Linked DNA regions of Drosophila melanogaster. The protein of the gene in region 2 purifies or fractionates together with the protein of the main gene of each other region. This does not show direct contact. Each region holds a gene or a part of one and is shown on either strand. Other genes may lie near its edges.

Region 1 (8,291 bases), on a different chromosome or scaffold from region 2:
GTATATTAATGTGCAATATATTTACATTGCAAGATACTTACATTTCATTATGCCGTATACAGCGTGATGATGATTTCAATTCATAGAACTCCATATTCTCAGTAACATTTGGTAAGAAATCCATATTGTCGTTATCATTCAACAAGTTTATATTTAGATCAAACTCCATATCAAAGCCCAAATCGATTCCAGATTCCGTCATATTTAGGATTAAATTTTTTATACTTAGGAAATTTTATATACCCAACTAACAATATACATAGAACAATTTTTATTTTTTACTAATTATGAAGTTCACATAATTTCGCCTCAGCAGTTAAAGATTCGGAACTACTAATGAATACCTAAAGTTTCATAACACGTATAGAGCTTTTAATAGTGGTGAGAATATGACAGTAAGTGATCGCACATATATCGTGATGTTAAAAGAGCTTAGAGAACTGCCAGTATCTCAATAAAATTTTAAGATATAATTATCTTGTATTTTACTATCAATATAGTAAAAAAAATCATTCAATGTACAACGACAATTTAACTAAATATAACTAAATATATGTAATTTGCATAATTATCATATTATGAAGGAAAGAAATCAAGCTATATATAGCGGCTTCTTAGACAAAAGTGATACAACTAAAGTTTCTTTCTCCTAAAGTTTTTAAGTATTTTTACTCTTCCCCTTATTAGGATTTTCTTTTTCTTATTAGATTAATTTTAAATTTTTAAACTTATCATATTACATTTCACTTTGAAATATATAAAATATATATATTTTTAAATAAGAAAATTAAAATACAAAACAGCTATCAAATCGAAAGTTTTAAACAGAATGAAGTAGTTTGGTATGATTATTTATCCGATGTACTTCAGTTTTTTCCGACTCTACTGAAAAGGGGAAGTGTTAACCGACTCTAACACAAAAGATATTTTCAGCATTGTTTTTTCTACAAAATATTCATAAACGTTATTCATAAAACGTTAAAAATAAATATTTATTGTGCTTTTATTATTGTCAAAACATGAACAATAAAGCATGCAGCTTTATTTTCGTAATTGAATTAAGAAAGTTATCTTTGGCAAGCCGAATCGTAAAGTAACGGTGTAAACAGATTAAAAACAAATTAATAAAAACTAATGAAGTTATTCCGGCATGCTCTGGTAATGGTCATTTTTTGGATTTGGGCAAAATCTTTCGATTTCGTTTTTAGGTGCTCTGGTTTTCGCAACATTTCTGATATCGGGATGCTTCATAAACAGTAAACAGCTGTTTCAGACCATAGAGCGGCCATCTTATTCACAATTTTTTAAATTTTATAAGTATTTTTACCTTCGTACATATGACCTCTTGCCAAATCGAAAATTTTTGTTGCCGACGGCAAAATTTTGTATGGCAAATCTGAGGTGGGGTCAGAAATAATTTTTCTATAAAATATCTATGTCGCAGAATAATCTTGTGGGGTTATGTGGAGTAAACAATGGACCACTAATCTGAGGTGGGGTCAGAAATAATTTTTCTATAAAATATCTATGTCGCAGAATAATCTTGTGGGGTTATGTGGAGTAAACAATGGACCACTAAGATCTAAGATCTGTTATGGCCAAACAAAAGTGCCCGTTTTACAAATCAAAAGATCGAAAATTTTTGTAGCCGAAGGCAACATGTTGTTTGTCAAATCTGAGGTTTAATCAGAAATAAATATTTTATAAGATATCTATGTGGCAGAATGATCTTGTGGGGTGATGTGGAGTAAAGAAGGTACCACTAAGATCTGATTTGATATAAATATAGGCATTTACTTTTCATTTCGGCCAAACAAAAGTGAAAAATTCTTGCGAATTCAAAAACCGGAGCACCAATTTTTCGATTTCACATCGAAATCGTAAGATTCTTACGAATTCGAACACAGGAGCACCAGTTTTTCGATTTTAAATCGAAATCGTAAAATTCTTACGAATTCGAATACCGGAGCTTGCCCGATTATATTTTATTTTATAAATTCAATTTTTCCCGAGCGCTAATATGGCAGAGAATTTCGATCAACTCACATTTGTGTTCCACTTTAAATTTGTCTTCATATCAGAGCACGTGCTTTTGGTTTTCTAAAAACAACTCCTACAAAAACCTTTATATTTAATATACAATGCGGTTAGTCTCTTTGTTTGATCTAAATTGTTTCTCTTGAGTATTGCTTGCTATTATTAAAAGATTTTCAACTCTCTGAAGTCCTTTTAGAAGCATAGAAGTATTTAGAAGATTTAAGAGTTAAAGTATTAAATAGTTTGTGATATCAGAATTACTTTTAAGTGGAAACGGCGTTTCATAAGCCGATATAAAAAACAATAAATACATATCTGAATTTATCGATAAGGTATTTCATATTATAAATTTATGTAAACTACAAATTTGTCTGTTCAAAAGCCTGCGAGTCATTGTAAAATACAATAATCATATCTGCAAAGTAAACTAAATTTATTATGAACGCTGGGTTATTTTAGTTTTCAATAAAATGTAATACCAAAGTTCTGTTTAATGTAAATTGGTAAACAATTTACGTGCAACTCTATACATTGTATTAATCAATTTTGGGCTATATGTGTATATAGATATATAAGTGAATGTATATATTCAATGTTACAGCATGTATTATTAAAAATATTAGTTTTTTAAGTGGCTCATCAGCTCTAAATTTAACTTTGCTTAATTTGTTCAGTAATGTTAAACTATATTTTTGATTTTAGTAATTTTAGCCACCCAAAATATGGAAAAAAAGATCTCATCGTCATCCCAGCCCCGGATTTTAAAAAAGAAGCACTTCAGGGTTAAGCATCAAAAGGTTAAATTATTTAGAGCCAATGAACCAATTTTAAGTGTGTTCATGTGGGGAATAAATCACACTGTATGTAACAAATATTAAACAAGAAAGGCAAGATAAGCTAATTTGAAATATTTCCAGATTAATGAATTAAGTCACGTTAATATACCTGTAATGCTTTTGCCGGACGATTTTCGAGCTTATTCTAAAATTAAGGTGGATAATCATCTATTTAATAAGTAAGAAACCAAAACAAATACATTTTTGATATTCTCAATCGTTGGTATTTTCCTGTTATTATATCCACTACAGAGAAAACATGCCGTCACATTTCAAAGTCAAGGAATATTGCCCCCTTGTGTTTCGAAATTTACGTGAAAGATTTGGCGTTGATGATGTTGATTACCGCGAGTCCTTAACTCGATCCCAACCTATTCAAATTGATTCGTCTGGAAAATCAGGAGCGCAATTTTATCAGAGTTATGATAAGTTTTTTATAATAAAAAGTTTGACATCGGAAGAAATTGAACGAATGCACGCATTTTTAAAGCAATACCATCCGGTGAGTAAAGTATGGTTTAATTGACTAAAATATCCTTATTATAATTTTTAGTACGTTGTGGAGAGACACGGAAAAACGCTGTTACCTCAATACTTGGGAATGTATCGTATCACTGTAGAAAGCGTGCAATATTACTTCGTTGTCATGAGGAATGTTTTCAGCTCCCACTTGACAATACACAAGTATGAAATATGTTGAAAGTTACACCGATTATATGTATAGTATAACCATTATTTATTCGATAGAAAGTTTGATTTAAAAGGTAGCACCGTTGATCGGGAAGCATCAGAAAAGGAACTTGAAAAAAATTTGCCGACTTTCAAGGACAATGATTTTATAAAACAAAAAGTGAAATTAGACATTGGAAAGGAAGCTAAGGACAAACTAATGGACACGCTGAGCAACGATGTGGATGTAAGCAAAAATTTTTATTTTATTCGTATAATAATTGTTTTTATCAAAATTTAAACAAGAAAGAATGCGAGTTTCCCGACTATCAGATATCCGTTACTCAGCTAGTGGAAAGTCAAAGCGAAATTTAATTGGGGAATCAAATGAGAAACAAGGGAGAACGCTATAGTCGGGTTCCCCAACTAGTTGCCCTAATATTAACGGCATTAGATGGGAGGAGAAAAATGTGAATTGACTGGACGAAGAAGTTCGCTAGAAACTGCGACACAACTAATAAAATTAAATAAAATTTGTTATAAATGTGGGCGACAGGTGGCAATAAGTTTTTTGGCATATCAATAGAAATTTACAAGACTAAAAAAAATATGAAAAAATATAAAAACAATATTCAAAAGTTCAAATCTTCATGTCTTCATTTAATAGTTTCTGAGATCAAGGCGGTCATAAGGATTGACGTTCGGATTCAGACATTGATCCTGATCAGGAATATAGCGTCCGAAACGCTTCATATTACCTGTTATATACTTTCCAACAAATATAGTATACCAATTTACCAAAGACAATAGAATAACAAGATGCGTAACGCCATACGATTTTTTTTTGGCGTGGCTTTAGAGGTGGCTCCAGGCTCTCTCGAATTTTTGTTCAAGAGCGAGAGAGCGGAAATCTCTACAGCCAGCAGCTCTTTTCTACGCGTACCAATAGTACCAATATAGTATACCAATTTACCAAAGACTATAGAATAACAAGATGCGTAACGCCATACGATTTTTTTGGCGTGGCTTTAGAGGTGGCTCCAGGCTCTCTCGAATTTTTGTTCAAGAGCGAGAGAGCGGAAATCTCTACAGCCAGCAGCTCTTTTCTACGCGTACAGTGACAGCCGACAACTGTACGTATGCTCATGCATTGTAAATTTGACGAAATAAGCCCTTCATCTTAGAAGTTCTTAGACTTTAAATCTACATTATTTTTGATCAATTGGCACCATGTACAAATTTATTTGTTTTGAATTGCCTTAACGTTGTTTTTATTTAAATATAGCTTAGAAATAATAATAGCCTAATCTTCTATGTACATAATACCAGAAAATAAATTTCAAAAATGACTTTATATTAGAATATTTGTCATTAGAGTATTCAGCTTGCGACGACTAGACTTGTTGAATCGATCTGAAACATCGAAATTTGGGAAGCTGTAAGTGCTATAAGGAGTGCAATTAACATATCGAGGATCATCGTCTTACATATCTTGAATGTTATTAATTCATAGGGACTACAAATTTGTCGCCTTGCACATTTTATATAAATTTCAGGTCTTGAAAATCATACGAATGTGCTGCCATTTTCAAGCATATTGCGTTAAATCTAATTCATAAAAAAAAGTCCTACGAAGTGGTACTTGAAAACCATTTAATCTGAACAAATTTATCTAAAAACCTTTAAATTGTTGTAGTTTAACCTATATAACCAGTAGATATAATTATGTCTTGCATGACTTGATAATTTATTTATTTATAAATATAAATTACCAATACTTTTTGATAGCATATGGTGACATATAATTTATTTTAGCTTTTAACCAAGTTGCACATTATGGATTACTCTTTGTTGGTCGGCGTGCATGACTGTGTTCGTGCAGAGGAGGAAGCTTTGCAGGGAGATAATATACTAACTGTTGGTCGCAGTGAGAACAGCGAAAGCGAGGAATGCGATAGCGGGGAACGGTAAATAAAAATTATTTTATTTAAGCCTTAAATGTACGCAGTTCTTGTTAAAGCTGGACGTATAACACTCCTCCCGATTCTCCAAGAGGTGCACAGTATAAGGAAGTCGTTTATGAAGTTGATATATATGACATTCCAAGTATTGAAGGTAAATGTAGTTTAAAAGTTTTGTACGCAATAGCCCTGATAACTTAACAAAGAGCATTTTTATATTGGTCGTTTTTATATTTTTCAAGTTTTTGAAAATGATGCGTGCGTGCTTATGACGTAAAAAAATTGAAACAAAATTTACGTTAAAGCTCGTTTTTTTAAGATTTTACCCAAAATATTTGGAAAAACAATATATGTTGTTTTTCCATTTTATGCATGATTAAAACACCGGGGAGTACCGATTTCTGAATAGGATACTTAAACTTTCTCTTCTGATTCAGCAGTTAAGATCGTAGCTTCAATCAGACTTGGGAATCACTCTTTTAGTGGCAATCATCATAAAATTTCAGTTGCTTCAATCGTCAACTATCGTGACCATTTCGCTTCATTTGATGTGTTTCGTGCATTGCGCTTATACAAGGGGTACAATATAGTTAAGCAAAAATGTGTGATAACCTTACACCAATTTACATTACATTCAATTTATTTAAATAATTTATTAAAGAATAAATATTATTCTTTAATATATTTAATAATAAATATTATTAAGAATAAATTTATAAAGAATAAATAAATACTTTGTTCTTTGACATACAATGCAGGTAAAAACTATTTTAATAGAACCCCATTAATAAATTTAAATTTCAGTTGTTAACTAATGAGATTTCTATTACTGGTTTCTTAGTGCACATTTTAATTTTTTGGTCCAATCACTTCTACCGTTTTGCCACTAATACTACCGGTATTAAAATTAGAGAATTAATGTATATTTTGAACTGTATTGCAGAAAAACGCGAAATTTACTTTATTGCAATTATTGACGTTCTTACACAATATGGAGTAAAAAAACAGGTATTTCATTTAATACTTAAAAGAAAGGTTGTAATTTTAACAGCATATTTTAGGCAGCTAAAGCAGCCAAAACTGTTAAATATGGCAGTAATGTTGACGGTATATCAACCTGTGACCCTGAACAATATGCCAAACGATTCTTGGACTTTATGGATAAAGCTATAGAATAAAGTATTATACTCATTATGTATTTGCCACATTCAAAATGTCAAAAATGTATTTATCTAAGACATAAAATATAAGATATTATTTTGAAGCTTCCAGATGATCATCTTTTGGACGAATGCAAATATATTGCCTTAAATATCCATTTAGAAATAATTCGGATTTAGTGACCATCACGATGTTACTAGAAAAAATTGGTGAGTCGGGTAAGGATATTTATTCTACTGCACTTACAACAAAACGTTTTATTTGAGTTTTTGATGGGTTCTCCATAGCAGTTTCCGATTTTTTCATATTTTCAAAGCGTTCCCGTATTCTGAAATTAAAGGACCATTACCTTGCAAATTAGTCAAGATACATAAGTAAGTTTGATCTTACGCTTTGGCACTTTCAATAGATTCGTTTGAAATAAGCTGTGAATATACATCAATGCGACCTTCCTTTATTTCTTGTTCTATTTCGTTATTTTGCCATTTTTCAAATTTCGCTCTCAATTGCTTAGCTCGTGCAACACTTTGCGCCTAAAAAAACGAGAAGTGTATTTAATGTACTTTGTAATTACTTCTGGTAACTTAAAGCTATAAAACATTAAAGACTCTTTAGTTGTTATTGGGAGTACAGGACTTATTACACTGGCCAACTTTTTCTTGAAAAGGTAGTACCAAGATCACCGAATTAAACTTATTATGTAATAGATTTAGCGAGGAGCAGGTTCGTAGCATTCTCTTTGTCGAGGACTTCTCCTACAGCAATTACATGTAATTACAAAATTTCATCGAATCTAATTTTAAAGAACTTTGACCACAGGCAGGCTTACAATAAAAAATGTTTGGCCGTTATAGTGGGCGTACGTGGACGTTTTTGCCATATTGATATATATGTGAGATACACAATCAAAAAAAATGTATAAATGTTCGTTACTCATAGATAAAAATAATAAAAAAAAAAAACACCGAAAAAAACTGGAAATACATATAATAAACTAAAATTTACAAAAGTGTGGGTGTGGGACCGGTTTGTGGGCATGGCCAAATTAGGGCAACATGGGTCAACAAACTTGCGCTACGTCTATGTCTTTAGAATCTATTGATCCTGATCAATAATATATGTACGTTATAAGGTTGCAAACGTTTCCTTCTACCTGTTACATACTTTGAAACAAAACTAGAATACCCTTTTACTTTATGTGTAACGGGTATAGCAAGAGTTAGCATTCACTCTTTAAAAAAGATTTAAAAAAATTTTAAAATGGAAAGGTGTGGGCGTGAAAGTTTTGGGCGGGGCAAAAAGTATTTTGGTAAATTTATAGAAATTTACAAGAGCAATAAAAAATTAAAAAAGATCAAAACTTTTTGCTAAATTGTGGCCGTGGCAGTTTTGAGCAAATTGTGGGCGTAAGAGAGGGCGTGTCAAAAATTTGTTCGAAAAATCATAGAAATTTACAATACTAATAAAATTATGAAAAAATATCCAAACAATTTACAAAAGTGTGAGTGTAGCAGTTTTGGGTGGTGTGTGGGTATTAGAGTGGGCGTGGCAACATGGGTCAACAAACTTACGCTGGGTTTATGTTTCTAGAATCTGTATGCTTAATCTTAACCTTCTAGCTTTAATA
Region 2 (5,336 bases):
CATCTACAATCATGCAAAAGTCAATGAAAACCTTCTGCTCCGTAATGCAGCAGAATAAAGCTACTTACAAGGTGCCCTCGACCGCTGTTGTTGACTCAATAGTTGTCGGTGCCCAGGGCGACATAAGAAATGCGTTAATTAATTTACATTTGAGCTCTTTAAAGGGAGTTTCCAGCATGCCGACCAAACAGCTAAATGTCAGTGTGTCCGCAAAAGGTCGTAAGAAGAAAATGCAAAGTACTTTAAAGTCAATTGGTAGAGATGAATCAATTACTCTGATGCACGCACTTGGAAGAGTATTAAATCCTAAGTGTAAGTCCCACGAAACATTCTCTGTAAAAATACTCATTCAAATCTTGGATCTCATCAGTTAATGAGGACAAAACTATGTTACACAGCCCGGAGGAAATAACCGAAGCCTTTAATACAGAGCCCAGGAATTTTGTGAATTTTGTATATGCCAACTATCTGCCGCATTTTAAGGAAATCGATGATGTCGTGACCGCCATAAATGACTTGGGCCTATCAGATTGCATGCTCAACGAGTACAGAGATGATAATTTGTCTGTGATGGGCTTAAACGTTGCCATACGAGGAGTTATGATGTCCAATACGTGCCCTGTCAGCGGATGGATGCCTGTTCGAGGACCCAAGCGAATCAATATACAGCCACAGGCAACTTTGGCCGAACAAAGACTGGTGGGTGTGGGCTACGCGGGCATTGCCAGGACGCTCTACGCCACGGAGTACAGCTCATTAGTTAAGTTAATAGCAGGCAAGCCTGTGGATACTACTTCAAGCCAAAGCACAGACTCAAAACAAGACTTTTAGTAAATCAAAACTATTTATCTGATGTTAAAACTAAAGTAGCAAGGAAGTTTTTAAAAAATGTCCCTAGGACCAAATATGATATCTAACAATCGCAAAACCCAGTTTATTATATAAATTAAATGTACTGCGCATCCCACCGTAAGAAAATGAATAGCGGTAGTTATTCGAATTCATGTTTTAACTCTTTATTTATCTACAAATCGATTTTTCATTATACAAAGTTCCATTAAAATCAACACTTCGAGGCAACACCGCTAAACTATACACCATACAGACCAACAAAAATACAATTGGGAGGCGTCGTTTGCAGATAATAAAGTAATGCTAATTCTTTCTGATGAATGCTTTTTGATGAGCTATTTGATGATTGAAAGGAACTCCTCACAATTTAGGCGTCCACAGATGACTTAAAAACTAAACAAGGATTATGTCCATTTATCGCCACATTCTACCACAATTGAGTCTTTTATTTACACACGGCGGAGTGACATACTCTTCTATTTTATTCTATTTGACAACTGCATCGGCTGGCCTGGATACATCGCTGGAGTTGTCGTCCTCCTCCATTTGATTTCCATCTAGCAGGCGCTGACGCTCCTCCTCGTTGGCATGACCATTCAGGTGGATCGGTGATCTAGACCTGGAGCGGGTGCGGCTCCTCTCGTGCCGCTCGGCATGCCCATTGGCTATGTTCAGGCCGGCCACGCCCATTTCGTGACCATCGCTGCTGGTCGAGGAAGTGGTGGACGTGGTGCTCGACGTGGTGCTGCTGCTGTCGCTTTCGCTGTCCTCGCTGGTGGAGTCCATGGGTGTGGGTTGTGGCTGCTGGGGAGGCTGTTGTCTAGCCTGCAGCTCGCAAGCTGAACTGGGAGTGGGCGCCACCGCTGAGGGCGGGGAAGCTGCGGCCGCTGCTGCTGCCGCTGGTCCAGCTGTCGCGGAACACGTGCGCAAGAGGTGGGTGCGCAGAACTGGAATAAAAGGCACAAGTTATAAATTTTCCTGGTTTTTCAAATTATTAAAGACATCGCATACATTGATTCTCACGTGATAGTTGGCGAATCTTATCATCCTGCGCTCGTAATTTGGCTCCAAACTCCTTGGATATGTTCTGGGCCTTCGAATATCGATCTTCGATTTGCATGCACTCCTGGATGAGCTCCTGCTTGCTCATCGTCTCCAAACGTTCGAGCCGCGCTCGCTCGTAGACATCGGAGAACTCCTTGGAAAGGAAGAGCACCTGATCTTCGGTCTGGGAGCCAAAACAGTTGTCGTCGGAGTCATCTTTGTGCAGCTCCGACATGTGTTCCTCCATTAGGAAGCGGTTCGTGTTGTACGGAACGAGCAAGGAGCGCGAACGAACCAGCTTGGTTCTGCTATTCTGTCGTTGATTCCCCTCCAGCGTTGCTCCTGCACCCGTTGACATATCGAGTTTCCACTGCGGATAATGGTTCTTGGTCTTCTTGGGCTGCATCTTGGATTTTTTTCCCCGCCGATGTTTCCTCTTCGGCATTCCCGAGCCGCCTCCTACAGCGACACCGCCTCCGCCACTGGCGCCCCCTCCTCCGCCGCTATCCAAAGGTCGTTGTTGGGAGCCACTTTCTGGAAAGAGCAAGAGGACCAAATTCAAATTTGAACCGCCAAAATACTCGAAAATGCAACTCTGCCCACTGCAGGGGCAAAGGAAAGAAAAAAACAATCCAATAAGACAGTCGCCATTTGTCGCTTGCCTTTTTCAGCGCTCCCCGAGTGACGATTTTTACCATTTTTTACAGCTTCAGCCATGTTGCCAACACAAATACTTAATTTATTAAGCACTTAATTAACACTTTAAGCTATAACTGGAGATTTGTTGCCGATTTGTAGGTTTGCGATTTTTATACTAAGCGAACTAAAACTCGATTGAAGTGTAACCAGGTGCTGACGCCGGAGTCCCACATAAAGTTCTCCGCCTAACGCGACCAAAAATACCCCAATTGCTATCACATTGAATAATATTAGGCGCCAATTTCAAAATAAATAAGAAAATCTCCATATTTTAAAGACAATCTTTCTACTTTGTTACCCACAAGGTAAGTTATTGAAATATTGTTTCTGAATCAAAAGATTTAGTTATTATTTTAGTTTGTTTTACTGAACATTTTGTTGTACCAAGTATTTACTTCAATCTATGCTTTGAGACTGTCGTGAATCCAATCGATGTAGGACGCCACCCTGGTGTAGACATCCGGCCAGTCGGGATTGGGGCAGGGAACGGGTCCGAACGACACCAGTCCACCGAGCAGATAGCCATCGTTCTTGAACAGCATCAGTGGTCCACCAGCGTTGCCGTAGCACTCCTGGGAATTGGTCAGGCCACAGAGCTTCGAGGCTTGGATGCGCAACTGCTGGCTGGCGTACTTCCTTTGACACTCCTCAATCGAACTAATGGTCACATAACCTTTTCGCATCCTTTGCGAGGAACTAGCCTGCCATCCGGCCACCTCGGTGACCAGGTCCTCCAGCTCGTCCGCTCGCAGCTGCTTGTTGGGCAGGCAAATGGGTTGCACAAAGTCGTTGAGCTTGGCAGGACTTGCCAGTCGGACGAGGGCAATGTCGTTGATCTGCGTCCTGTCGGTGCGATTGTAGAGCGGATGTGGAAGCAACTCCTCGATGGCTATGTCCTGGTAGGGAGGCGCGCAATCCGCCACTTTACTATCCTCATGGTACTGACAGTCGGGATTCGTGCTAGTGTCCCATTCACCCAACCGGACAGCAGTAATCTGCAGATTGCTAGTCGCCGCCTGGGCCACACAATGGGCAGCAGTTAGCACATACCGATCACTGATAAGCACACCGCCACACGCATGGATCTTCTCCTGGTTGCCTGCGGAGTAAAAAAGGTGGGGATTAATACTGTGACCTACATATACATATATTACCAAAACCGGCAACTCACCGCGCGTATACTCAATGAGGGCCAGCCAGGGAAACTCCCGGATTCGCGTATCTGTGTCATTCGAACGCTGCCAACGAACCTTTCCGCAATCCGAGGGCAAAAGTGGGTGGGTCAGGGCACCCAAGCCGGCGGTACTAGGACAGCATACCTAGAAAAACAGTGGCTTTATCATTATATTATAAAGTATATCTCTTTTACGAGGAACTCCCAAAAGCGTACTCGAATAACGAGTTTTTTTTTATGATACAGTTTGAGGTCACTTATTTTTACAAAAAGTTTCCTTAACATTAACAATGGAAGTAATTAAAATATTTAAAAGGAGAATGATATCTCATTTGAAACCATTCGTATTATCAAAATGTGGTGTATTTCCCTATTCAAATCGTTTACAAGTTCTTATCTGTAGAAAATGATAAGAACGCAAGCGTTTATAAAATTCCAAAAAAATGAAGCTGGGCAGTGAAAGTGAAAACCAGAACAGGCCCAATATAATCGAGCTTGTTTTATTTAGTAGCGCTTAATGGATCAAGTTGTGGAAGTTCGAGTTCAATTGGGTAGGGAGAGATACTGTGGTGAATCACCCACCTGGACGTCGTTGCCCCGCACTCCGCACTGATTATCACGGAGCAGGTTGCGATCGCTCTGGCTGAGATTGCCGGATAGCAGGATTCTCATGAAGTAGTCACACTCCCGGATCGAAATGCAGTGACCGGTGACACGGCCACTCGGAATTTTTGCAACACAATTGATGGGCGGGAGTTGAGCTGGAATATCGGAGATCGGGGATCGTCCCACGTTAACTTAAGTTCACAGCCAGACTTGTTTACGATCCCGTATTCCGTACACACTCACCATTCGCGCCCAATGCCAGCGAGCCGACAACAACAAGTAGAGCTGGAAAACTTCCCATGCCGGACCGGATCGATCAGATACGATACAGCTGAGCGGAACGAATGAGACTGCGATCGAAGCTGAGTCTGAGATTAACATTAAGTTCGGCCGGTGCCTGTGAATTACCAGAGAGTCGCTTTCGGACCGGGTTCAGATAACATAATCGTAGTTGTGTAACTGGGGGGCTTTGTAGAGCTTTTAATGCCCTGCACTACGGCATATTCACTTACAATGAGTTGTCGAGATTTCAGCGTGTTACGCTTAGATGAGATCTAGTAATTAATATTTTATTTGTGGAATAAGCTCACAAGCTAATACTGATATACTGATCGTGATTTTAAAAGTCTCCCATTTGGAGACGTTAGAAATTCGAATGCCGAACATCTTAAGTCGAGCCTCTCATATGTTCGGCATCTCGGCGTTTAGTTGTGGTGTGAATTAACCATGACCGGGTTGAAAATTTGTCGGAACTCGCTTGCAGGCTGATGAAGGATGTTTGAAGTCGGAAATTGAATGACTACACGATGACCGCCAACTAGTGTGCCCAGGTGGACGAGATCGCAGAGTTGCCTTGGTCAGCTAGTATGACCAGCTGTGCAGCGTTCGATAACGTGATATCGGCGCGAATTGAATTTTGGCGCGGAGGTTTTTCCTCTATGACTCTTCTTTAAACCTACTT
Region 3 (9,251 bases), on a different chromosome or scaffold from region 2:
ATCCTATTTTAGTTAAGATATTTATTTAAATTATTTAAGAGTTATTTGCTAACGAAACAAATGAGATATTTAGAATAAATTTAGTTAAAATTTTAAGTACAAAATTAATTAATATTTGGACCGTTTTCAAGAATCTGAAGTTTCGCTCAGAAAGTTGAACAAGAAGTTCCCCCAAGCACCGCAAGAAAAACACATATCATTTAATTTTCCTGATTTTTTTGTTGTTTATTTTTTGCATTTTTATAGTTTTTTGTTTAGAATTTTGCGGGGTTTTGAAGATTTTTATTTGTGCCCTCGTGGGGGCGTGCAAGTGACGAGTGAATTCATATTCGAACGCACAACCAAACAATCCCAATGAAACCCGACACTTGCCCGCCACCCGAGCGGCGGGTTTTCCATTTGCTTTCCAAGTATGTACAAAAACTTAAGTTAGGAGGGGCGAGGGGTGGGGATGGGCGTGGGCGGGGAGTGTGGTAAAAGGGGCCAAGAATAAGTATATAAAGGGAAATCCAAATCTTAGACGCAAATTGCGCATTCTTTCGATCGATTATAAAAACGGGTTTCTCGGGTTCCCAACTTAAAGAATACGTTTCTCGACTGCATGGGATGGATGGTGTGTGAATGGATGTGTGGTGTGTTTAGAGCTATATATGCTTGCAGCTTAATGCAGTAGTAGAGAAATCGAATACGAATATACGAGTACGAATAGTTTTGAAAAACGCGCAACGTTCGCTTAACCTTTGCCTTAGTCGAAAATTACATAAAATTTCATTTCATTCTCATTTTCGCCTCGAATATATAGATCATGCCTAGATTTCTATATGCCTAACTTTTGTTTCTCCTCGTTTAGCCTTCTGTTAGTTTTTCGTTCGTTTAGCTTAGTTTGCTTGCAACGTTTTCGCTTGCATTTACATAATTTTAAAACTTTTTGTTTTCTTGCACAACAACTTTTGTTTTATCCAAAATTTAGTTTTGGGTTTCTTTTTTGTTTGCATATTCCGTTTTTGTTTTGGGACTTTATTATTTGTTTTTGTTTTGGTTTTTTTTTTGTTGTGGTAATTTGTTTTGTAATGCTATTTAAAAAATAAATTAAAACAAATGAAAGCTACGTCAACGTTCCAGGCGATCTTGAAACATAATATCATCCGCTGAAACAATCCGATCTTTTTACTTATCTTCATTGAAAAGTGTAAATACACTACTGTATATATTGCTAGGTGTCGAAAACTATATTGAAACACGGTTAGTAATCGGGCAATCGTTCAGAAAGGAAGGGAAAACTTTGCTAACTAAAAATAAACATCTTCATTCATTTTCGGATTAGCAACTATGTATTAATTAAATAATTCATTATGTGGTTTGGCGTCTTCAATTTTGAATCAAAGCGCTGGCTTTCCATTTACTCTCCTATCCTCTGCCACAACTATATGCTCCTCTGTGGGGATTATTTTGAAGTTCTTACTCTTTCTATCTCTCTGGCTTGCATTTAGTTGGGGCCGTATTTAGTATATTTGCTAAGCGGAAGTCTGTACTATATATCTCTTGATTGTGTGTTTGTGAGAGTGGCTATATACAGGTTAGAGTGTGTGAAACGGGTATTTGATTTGCTAACTTAAACGCTAGACGGCCATTGCTGCTCTCTGTGAATTTTCTGCTTGGGTCTCTGATTCCGTTTGCCAACAATTCGCTTAAAACTATTCCGTATTTTTATGTATGTGGGCTTATATGTATGCTATTTATTATAGTTATAAATTAATTAATGCTGTACAAAAGTTTTCGCGATTTGAGTACTGCTTTTACGTCCAGCCCCATCGCGACATCTACTTCCACTCTTCTTCGATCTGCGCATCCGGTTTCACTTCCAATTTGGAGTTTTATCTATGTGCTTAACTAAAATCAATAATGCATCTCACTAACAATCCTAACAACTATACTACAATCGGACTTACTGAGGTTCTATACATATATCAAAACGTACGACTTAAGAATAACCCTCTGACCGCTACCACTACTTCTTGTTGTAGACGGGCATGGGAGGCGGTGCCAGCCCAGCGGCAGAGGGTGGTACTGCACCGGTGGGCGCCAACAGCATGGATGGTGGTACAGCAGTAGACATGGGGGCGCCCATTCCTCCAGACATATTGGGTGCGGCGCCAGCACCGCCAAGGGGATTAAAGATGCCGCCACCAGCGCCATTGTACTTCGCGTAGTCTTGGCTCTTATTCTTTTTGCTCTCCTTGTCGCGGTCACGATCGCTGTGCTTTTTCTTGCTGCTGCCACCGGAACTGCTGCCGCCCGATGAGCTGTAGCCACCACCGCCGGCACCATAAGGAGGCAGAACAGGAGCAGCTGCTCCGATCGAAGCGGATGTGGTGGTAGCCGTAGTTGGAGGCAAGCCATATCCGATTGCGCCAGGCAGACCCGCCGCTGCAGAGTAGTTATTGGGTTCAACCTTATTTTTGCTGATCTTAAGTTTAATGGGAGCTGACGCACCGGCCTGCAGGCTGCCGTTGGGATTCTTGATAACCATCTTCAGAGGCTCATTGGGAAGAGAACTGTCCTTGCTGCCACCGCTGCCGCTACGATCCTTCTGCTTGTCCTTCTTGTGCTTCTTACGCTCCTCCTTTTCCGTCTTGTCCTTGGACTTGTCCTTCTCCTTGTGTTTGTGTTTATCCTTCTTCTTTTTCTTTTCGGACTTGCTGCTGCTTTCCTCCTTAATCTCTCCGGCCTGTTTAGTGGGTACTTCCAAATCCATGGGTGCGGGCCCACTAGCCAAACTGGTCATCGGAGTTATTCCCTGTTCTTTCTTGATTGTCGCTGGTGCGGGCATGGGCTCAAGCAGTTCGGCCGGTGGTTTCAGGCCAGGCATAGTCAAGGCATCCGGTTTCAGGAGCGAAGCGTTCGATGGACACAGACTCTCCTTTAGCAAACTGCGCACCAGATCCGGCGTTGTCTCGATTCCGTTGGACATATTCAGAGGCGTGTGTTTCTCCTCATAATTCGGATAAGTTGGTAGTCCAGTTGTAGTGTCCAGCTTGCGAAGCTTTTCTCGAGGCATATTACTGTTATCTATTTCATCCAGCTTATTTAGTCCATACTGACTTCCCGAGATCTCGTTGGGCCGTTTTAGGCTTCCACTCTCTCCAGGATTGGTCAACAGGTCCCCGCCATGGGGTATCTGCTTCTTGTGAGGCGGTAGCATCGGCTTTGATGATCCCGAGCCGGAGGAACTGTTCCCACTGCCCACTGGGGGCATGACAGGACGGTGCTTATCCTTTTTGGTTGGCGTTAGTCGCTCTTTCTTGGGACTTTCTTTGTCGCGCGGATGGCTATTTAGCTTGTAATCGTGGCCGGGAGGCGCAGGAGGGGGTAGCAAACCGTTAAAAGGCTGTGGTTGCGACTGCGACATGGGCTCCTTTTTAATGTCTGGCCACTCTGGACTGAAGAGCGAGTTCTTGGACTGCAACGAGTGCTGGGATGCCTCCGGAGGCATCTGTTGCTGCTGAGACTGAGGCACTGGCTGCTGCTGCATGTGGCCGTAGCTCTGGCTCTGGGAATAGGGCAATTGCTGCTCGAAAGGCGGCATGCCATGGACGGTGGAGCCGGATTTGCTGCGATGGCCGCCGTATCCGGCGGGAGGCGGGGGCTGGGATCCATTGCTAGCGCCTGGATATCCACCACGCGACATCAGCGGGTTTTGAGGGGCACTATTACTGTATGGCGGCGGTGCGTTCGGATACATTTTGTTGCTCTGGGATTTATCCTTGGAGGACATGCCCGATGCAGAGGAATTAGAGGCGGATGGATGTGGGACCGGCTGCTGCTGCGGCTGCTGGGGCTTGGAGCCCGAAGTCATCTTGTGGCTGCCGTGAGGTGGCATGCCCACGCCTACCGGCGGCATGCCGCGAGAGGATTTGTGATAGTCCACGGGCATAGACGGTCGGCCAGGCTGCTGGCTTGAAGACGACGAGGATGAGCTGCTGCGCTGGCTGCCACTTCCCGAGGAACCGAGTCCACTGCTACTACTACGCTGGTGACTTGAGGGCATTCGATTGTTATAGCCCGGCTGCTTTGACTTGTGATCTTCAATACGAAGATGTTAAAAATGTGATTCTTTTTGCAGTTGTTGAAATACTTACCCGTATGAGCGTCGGGCGGCATGCCACCAGGGTAATTTGGCATCTTGTGACTGGAGGAAGACGACGAAGAGCTGCTGCCTGGCACTCCGCTCACTGAGGACGAGCGCTGATGGCCACCATCCTGTCGTCTTTGCTGCGGCACCATAGCCGGTGGCGGCAGTAGTGACGACGGATCCCGTTCCCGCTCTCTCTCCCGTTCACGATCTCGGTCCCGATCCCGGCTGTCGTTGCCGTTTAACAGCTCTGGTGGTGTCGTGATGTTTGAGTGGTAGCCCTTCATCATCTCGGTGATCTTCCAGTCCTCCTTTGGTTTGTCCTTGCTGTTAGCTGTCCGATTGCTGGCTCCCTGGGCGATCGCCTTGATCGAGTTAAGCTTAGACTTCAGACGGGCCGGGCTCTTCTCATAGATAGCGATGAACTCATCTGTCAGCTGCTTTAGCAAATCCAGCGAGACCGTCTTGTCCACATAGTAGAACCAGTGTTTGCCCTCGGTCGACTGGGGGATCTCCCATCGGGACCACTTGCAGGCTAGGTAAATGCAGAAACAGGCTACGACCGTGGGGCGATATTGGAGGCACATCGAGGTCAGATGCAGGCTGTGCCAGGATGGTTAAGTCAATTTAGTGGGAAATCTTTTGCAAGAATATCACATATAAATGTAGTTCGGTGAGTGTGTGCAGGGGGATTTCATCACTTATAATACAGATTACGTCTTTAGTTCTTAGCATGTTCTTAGCGAGTCTCTTTTATTTCTTGGGGATCTTAAACTTAAAAGAATTATTCTAAAACGTTTGCCGATATTTCGAAATGCGCAAATTTTCCCAATGAGCTCTCCTCATGTAATCAGAATTTTGACTATGTTTTAGGTAGGCAGGTATGCCAAACTGAATTTATCTTTTTTCCAGATGTTTTAGTATGCCAAAGGATTACAATGGTTATCATTACAATTCTTCAAATATCTTTTTCTAGGAATTAACGACTCTTTCTAGGAATTAGTCTTATTCTTGACATTTGGCGGATTTTCCGACACAAATTACAATGTTATTGCAGGCAACTGAGGATAATTACCGCGAGGGACACGGAAAATACTGCCTTTTTGCTAAGATGCGATATTTGTACAGACGTCCTGCTGCGATTAGGGACCGCGTGTTCTTGTTCGATTTGTGACTTGGGGTCGTCACTTTTTTTTTTTGTTTCGACTCACATACCTGGGTTTGTTAGCTATAAGCGAGGAATTAAGCAGGTAAAAGAACTGCCCAAAGATTTTAGCCACAAAAAGTCAGGGATCGAACTCTCTACAGCCTGACCACTTTCTGGGGAGGATTGGGCCAACACCACACCCGCACACACACACACATTGCTTATACCACAGCCGTATTTGCGTTGGGGGCGATCTCTAGGAGGGATTACACCATAGAGTAGCGCATTGCTAGCCATACCTGTTCGAGGCCAAGAAGTACGATGTCTGCGCCAGATCCTTGCATGCTAAAATATACCACAGTAATCAGTACCATCTGACATGTGAAGGGGACATGGCTTGGGTCGGATGGTGGGTGCATACCTTTGACCAGCTGGCAGGTGCGCACCACATGCGTGTGCGGATGATCGATGGCCACATCGAAGCCCAGCGTCTGCAGGAGCACGTTCTCGTTGAACACAAGCTCCTGGGCGAGTTCGGCGTAATTCTGCTCGGTGGTCGGCGGCAGGCACTTGTTGGCGGCCCGAATAACATGCTCCAGCTTCCGCGGTTGCTCTTCTACCTTGGCGGCCAAGAAGAGGCTCGCCGACGCCATGGAGTTGCGATGAAAGTGGGTGAAGGAGTGAAAGGCGTAGAACCGATGCATGTACACAATGGCCGTGTTGATGCACAGTTGGGACACCTGCAGACGCTGACCCATTTCCTGTATCAGATAGGCGGTCATCTGGCGGTACTGCAGCTCATCGTCGCCCTTGATGCCGCATCTTCTGCTTGGCGAATTGGCCAGCTGATCGTTGCTGAAGTACCAGATCTTGTCCTTCTCGAAAGGCAGGTTGTTGTTGGCGGTGATTGGAATCCCGCTGGCCGAGGCGGCCGCGGAGGCGGATGAAGAAGATGAGGCGGTGGCCGCCTGGGGCATTGGCGTGGCTAGGAGACTCATGGTTGTATGTTTCCTTTATCCGTGCAGCGGAGATGGGGATCTGGGATTTCGGGTTCCGCGTGGTTATGCGGGGACCTCCGTTTCACATGCAAACTGCGCCTCGGAATGGACCTAGTAATTCCCTTTTGGCTGATTCAGCTGTAGGAACTAACTGTACGAAGAGGAAGGGAGAGCGCTCTTTCTTTGTCGGCCGTGCTTGAGTGCGCTGGTATTGGTGTCTGTGTCCGTATCCGTGTGCGTTGCTGCTGTGGCGGGGGTGGCAGCGGTACGGAAGGGGCAGTGGGGATCGCACGGCACATCGGCTAAGCCACACTCGATATTTCGCTGTTTTTGGGAGACTCCAATTTGGGTTTGGAACGAGGGGTTAAATCCGCGGTCCGCACACTTTTTCCGCCGCCGCGTCTCTGCGTGTTTGTTTGTGTGTGTGTGTGCGTGGTGGAGATGGTATGGTGTGGTGAGGTTTTCTGGAAACTGCGACTGCGGCGGAAACGAAACGAGACGAAAAACACACTAACCGCGACACCAGGCGACGTGTTATGCAACTTTCGTATCAATTCATAGTTATTCGCACTGCTTTCGCCGGGCACTTTAACCATTACGGGTCGTTTACTCGACGTTTTTAATTCCACAACACATCACAGATTCCATTCACACAGTGACAATGACAAACTTTGCAGAAAAAAATGTATTTTCAAGTATGGCCGTCGGCAGGGCTGCCAGATCGATAAGGCTTTCCAAACCGATGTTTATTTCGCATTATCGATATTATTTTTAAAATATGGCAACATTGATTCTACTGTTTATGTTATCGATTAATAATCGTAAGGTAGATATTCAAATAAATGTAAATACATTTTTAAGTAACTTACCTTAAACTTTACATTTCGCTAACACATGTAGAAATATCACAATGTCAACATTTTTTCCCTTCTTATTCAATTAAAAAATAACGTATATTCCGGGGGAATCGAATTTGTACTTAATATGTTTGAACAGTCCCATCTTAAATATATCTTATTATATGTATATGGACATATTATATATGTACTTTGAGCACCTTCATTTAATCGCATGACTTTTTTTTATCAAAATATCCAAATGTTGTTATGTATATGTTTATATACCTAGTCGGACAACCAGCACTTCGGTTGAAGCCAATCCTCAAACACCGTTACATCCAGAAAAACTTTATGGGCTGGTGGAATCATTGGTCCGTACTTCTTCAAAGCCGACGATGGCCAGTACGTTACAGTAAATGACGATCGGTATAGGGCTATTGTTACCAACATTTTCATTCCTGAATCGAACAACCATGATGTCCAGGACCTGTGGTTCCAAAAAGAGGACGCAATATGTCACACAGCTCGTGCCACAATCGATTTAATGGTGACCGACTAATCTAACGTTTTGGACCTGTAATTGGCCTCCCAGATTTTGTGACTTCTTTCTGTGGGTGGGGATATGTAGAGTTATTGGTCTATGCGTATAAGCCATAACCGACCGAATCATAAGAAATAATACTAGTAGTAAAAAAGACATTCCGAATTCCTGTACAGCTCAAAATGGCTATACATTTTGAGAGCGATGCTCTACCCATTTGAAATCTGTCATAAAAACACATATGAATTTTTTATTGTTATTTATAAAACAGATAATATATATTTATAGTTTGTAGATTAAAATATACAAAATTTAGCTAAAAACCTTAAAACTCTTATGTCGTCATAACAGTAAATAATTATGCTAGCTTGTGACTGTTACTTGCTTCGTTTTTCTTAATGCATTCTTATAAAAATTAATCTAATCCGTTCGCTTGCGCTTGCCTCTAACCATAAAATTCACCTACATACCATGACTTCGATCCAACGTTCGTTTCCTTACTACATAAGCATTAAAGTATATATATATATATTATATATATTGTGGCTGGCTTTAGCTGATTTCTCATCGCAGACATTTTTAAAATGTGTCTGTCAAATGTACAAAGATTGAACAAAAAGTGAAATAAACAGTCTAAAAACTTAACTTAGGTTAGTAAGTCAAAAACTAATCGTATCTAATGTTAATGCATTCAACATATTCGTCTAAATCTAGGCCAATCCATATCTCTACTATTCTCAGGCGGCATAGAATACCTTTGAATAATCGCACGTTTCCATTTAAAAGCTATATAGTTCGTTTCGTTTTTGAGTTACCAATAGAAAGATATCTTGTCTTAGCCTTAGCCTAGCATAGAAATCTTGCCCAACGGCATCGATATTCTATTGCATATAATTTAGTTGGTCTTATCCAGCCATTCGGGGTTATCCAATCTAACAAATAATTGGTGTATACATATAAAATACGTTTATAATCGAGTGGAGTCATGAGGTCCAGAAGTTGTATATGTACAATTATCGTGCTTAGCATGTATAAATGCTTTCGGGTTGGAGTCTCCAACTGATTTAGGCTATCGAAGTGAAAGGAGAGCTCTCTGGGAAATAGGAGATTGAAATTTAAATGTACTATCTCGATTTAAAGCTGCATTATCCGGGTTGTGGCTCAGATTCTTGTTTACCGATTTCGTTGTACTCGACTCGTGATTTTTGCATATCTGGTTCGATGCTGCTCTTGTTGTGGGTGTGCTTATATCTAAGGTCTTATAACATTTAAATATTCATTCCCTAACAACTAATAACTGATTTACGCTAGGTAATAATGGTAGATGCGGTGATCTACGCCAATAAATAGACATACATATAAATCCATGATCTGGGGGAAACCTCATAAACTGAGACCTCGTGAAATGGTGTCTTAGAACTACAAAATACACCGACTGGACTTTATCTAAAATATGTGATCTCGACTTCAAATATCGTCAATCCGAATCTCGACTATCCTATATAGACTTTGAATATATTGTAACTTATGCAACATTATGTACTTTTCATGGGAGGTATATCTAGATTCCAAATTTGTAGCGGGTTCCATATAT

What was found.
Region 1: the proteins of Hexim (region 2) and PIP4K purify together in Drosophila melanogaster (affinity purification with mass spectrometry, with the first as the bait; one large-scale study listed by BioGRID). This does not show direct contact.
Region 3: the proteins of Hexim (region 2) and CycT purify together in Drosophila melanogaster (affinity purification with western blotting, with the first as the bait; one study listed by BioGRID). This does not show direct contact.

Annotation. Positions count from the first base shown.
Region 1 is NC_004353.4:1,190,926-1,199,216, reverse strand, and holds PIP4K (phosphatidylinositol 5-phosphate 4-kinase), read left to right. Parts: upstream 1-2,368; 5' UTR 2,369-2,509; intron 2,510-2,739; 5' UTR 2,740-2,759; coding exon 2,760-2,897; intron 2,898-2,954; coding exon 2,955-3,052; intron 3,053-3,125; coding exon 3,126-3,375; intron 3,376-3,426; coding exon 3,427-3,557; intron 3,558-3,620; coding exon 3,621-3,789; intron 3,790-5,357; coding exon 5,358-5,509; intron 5,510-5,562; coding exon 5,563-5,657; intron 5,658-6,231; exon of another isoform or gene 6,232-6,446; coding exon 6,447-6,511; exon of another isoform or gene 6,512-6,564; coding exon 6,565-6,681; 3' UTR 6,682-6,798; downstream 6,799-8,291. Other genes in the region: CG33521 (uncharacterized protein), read right to left, coding at 6,858-6,860, 6,911-6,992, 7,055-7,197.
Region 2 is NT_033777.3:14,656,838-14,662,173, reverse strand, and holds Hexim (hexamethylene bisacetamide inducible), read right to left. Parts: upstream 2,737-5,336; 5' UTR 2,614-2,736; coding exon 2,559-2,613; intron 2,431-2,558; coding exon 1,864-2,430; intron 1,800-1,863; coding exon 1,339-1,799; 3' UTR 997-1,338; downstream 1-996. Other genes in the region: Rad17, read left to right, coding at 1-312, 371-831; CG3505 (uncharacterized protein), read right to left, coding at 2,997-3,694, 3,767-3,914, 4,352-4,530, 4,619-4,676.
Region 3 is NT_037436.4:17,550,796-17,560,046, forward strand, and holds CycT (cyclin T), read right to left. Parts: upstream 6,994-9,251; 5' UTR 6,278-6,993; coding exon 5,701-6,277; intron 5,625-5,700; coding exon 5,579-5,624; exon of another isoform or gene 5,348-5,578; intron 5,037-5,347; exon of another isoform or gene 4,736-5,036; coding exon 4,140-4,735; intron 4,084-4,139; coding exon 2,009-4,083; 3' UTR 209-2,008; downstream 1-208. UniProt on the Drosophila melanogaster protein: Regulatory subunit of the cyclin-dependent kinase pair (CDK9/cyclin T) complex, also called positive transcription elongation factor B (P-TEFb), which is proposed to facilitate the transition from abortive to production elongation by phosphorylating the CTD (carboxy-terminal domain) of the large subunit of RNA polymerase II (RNAP II).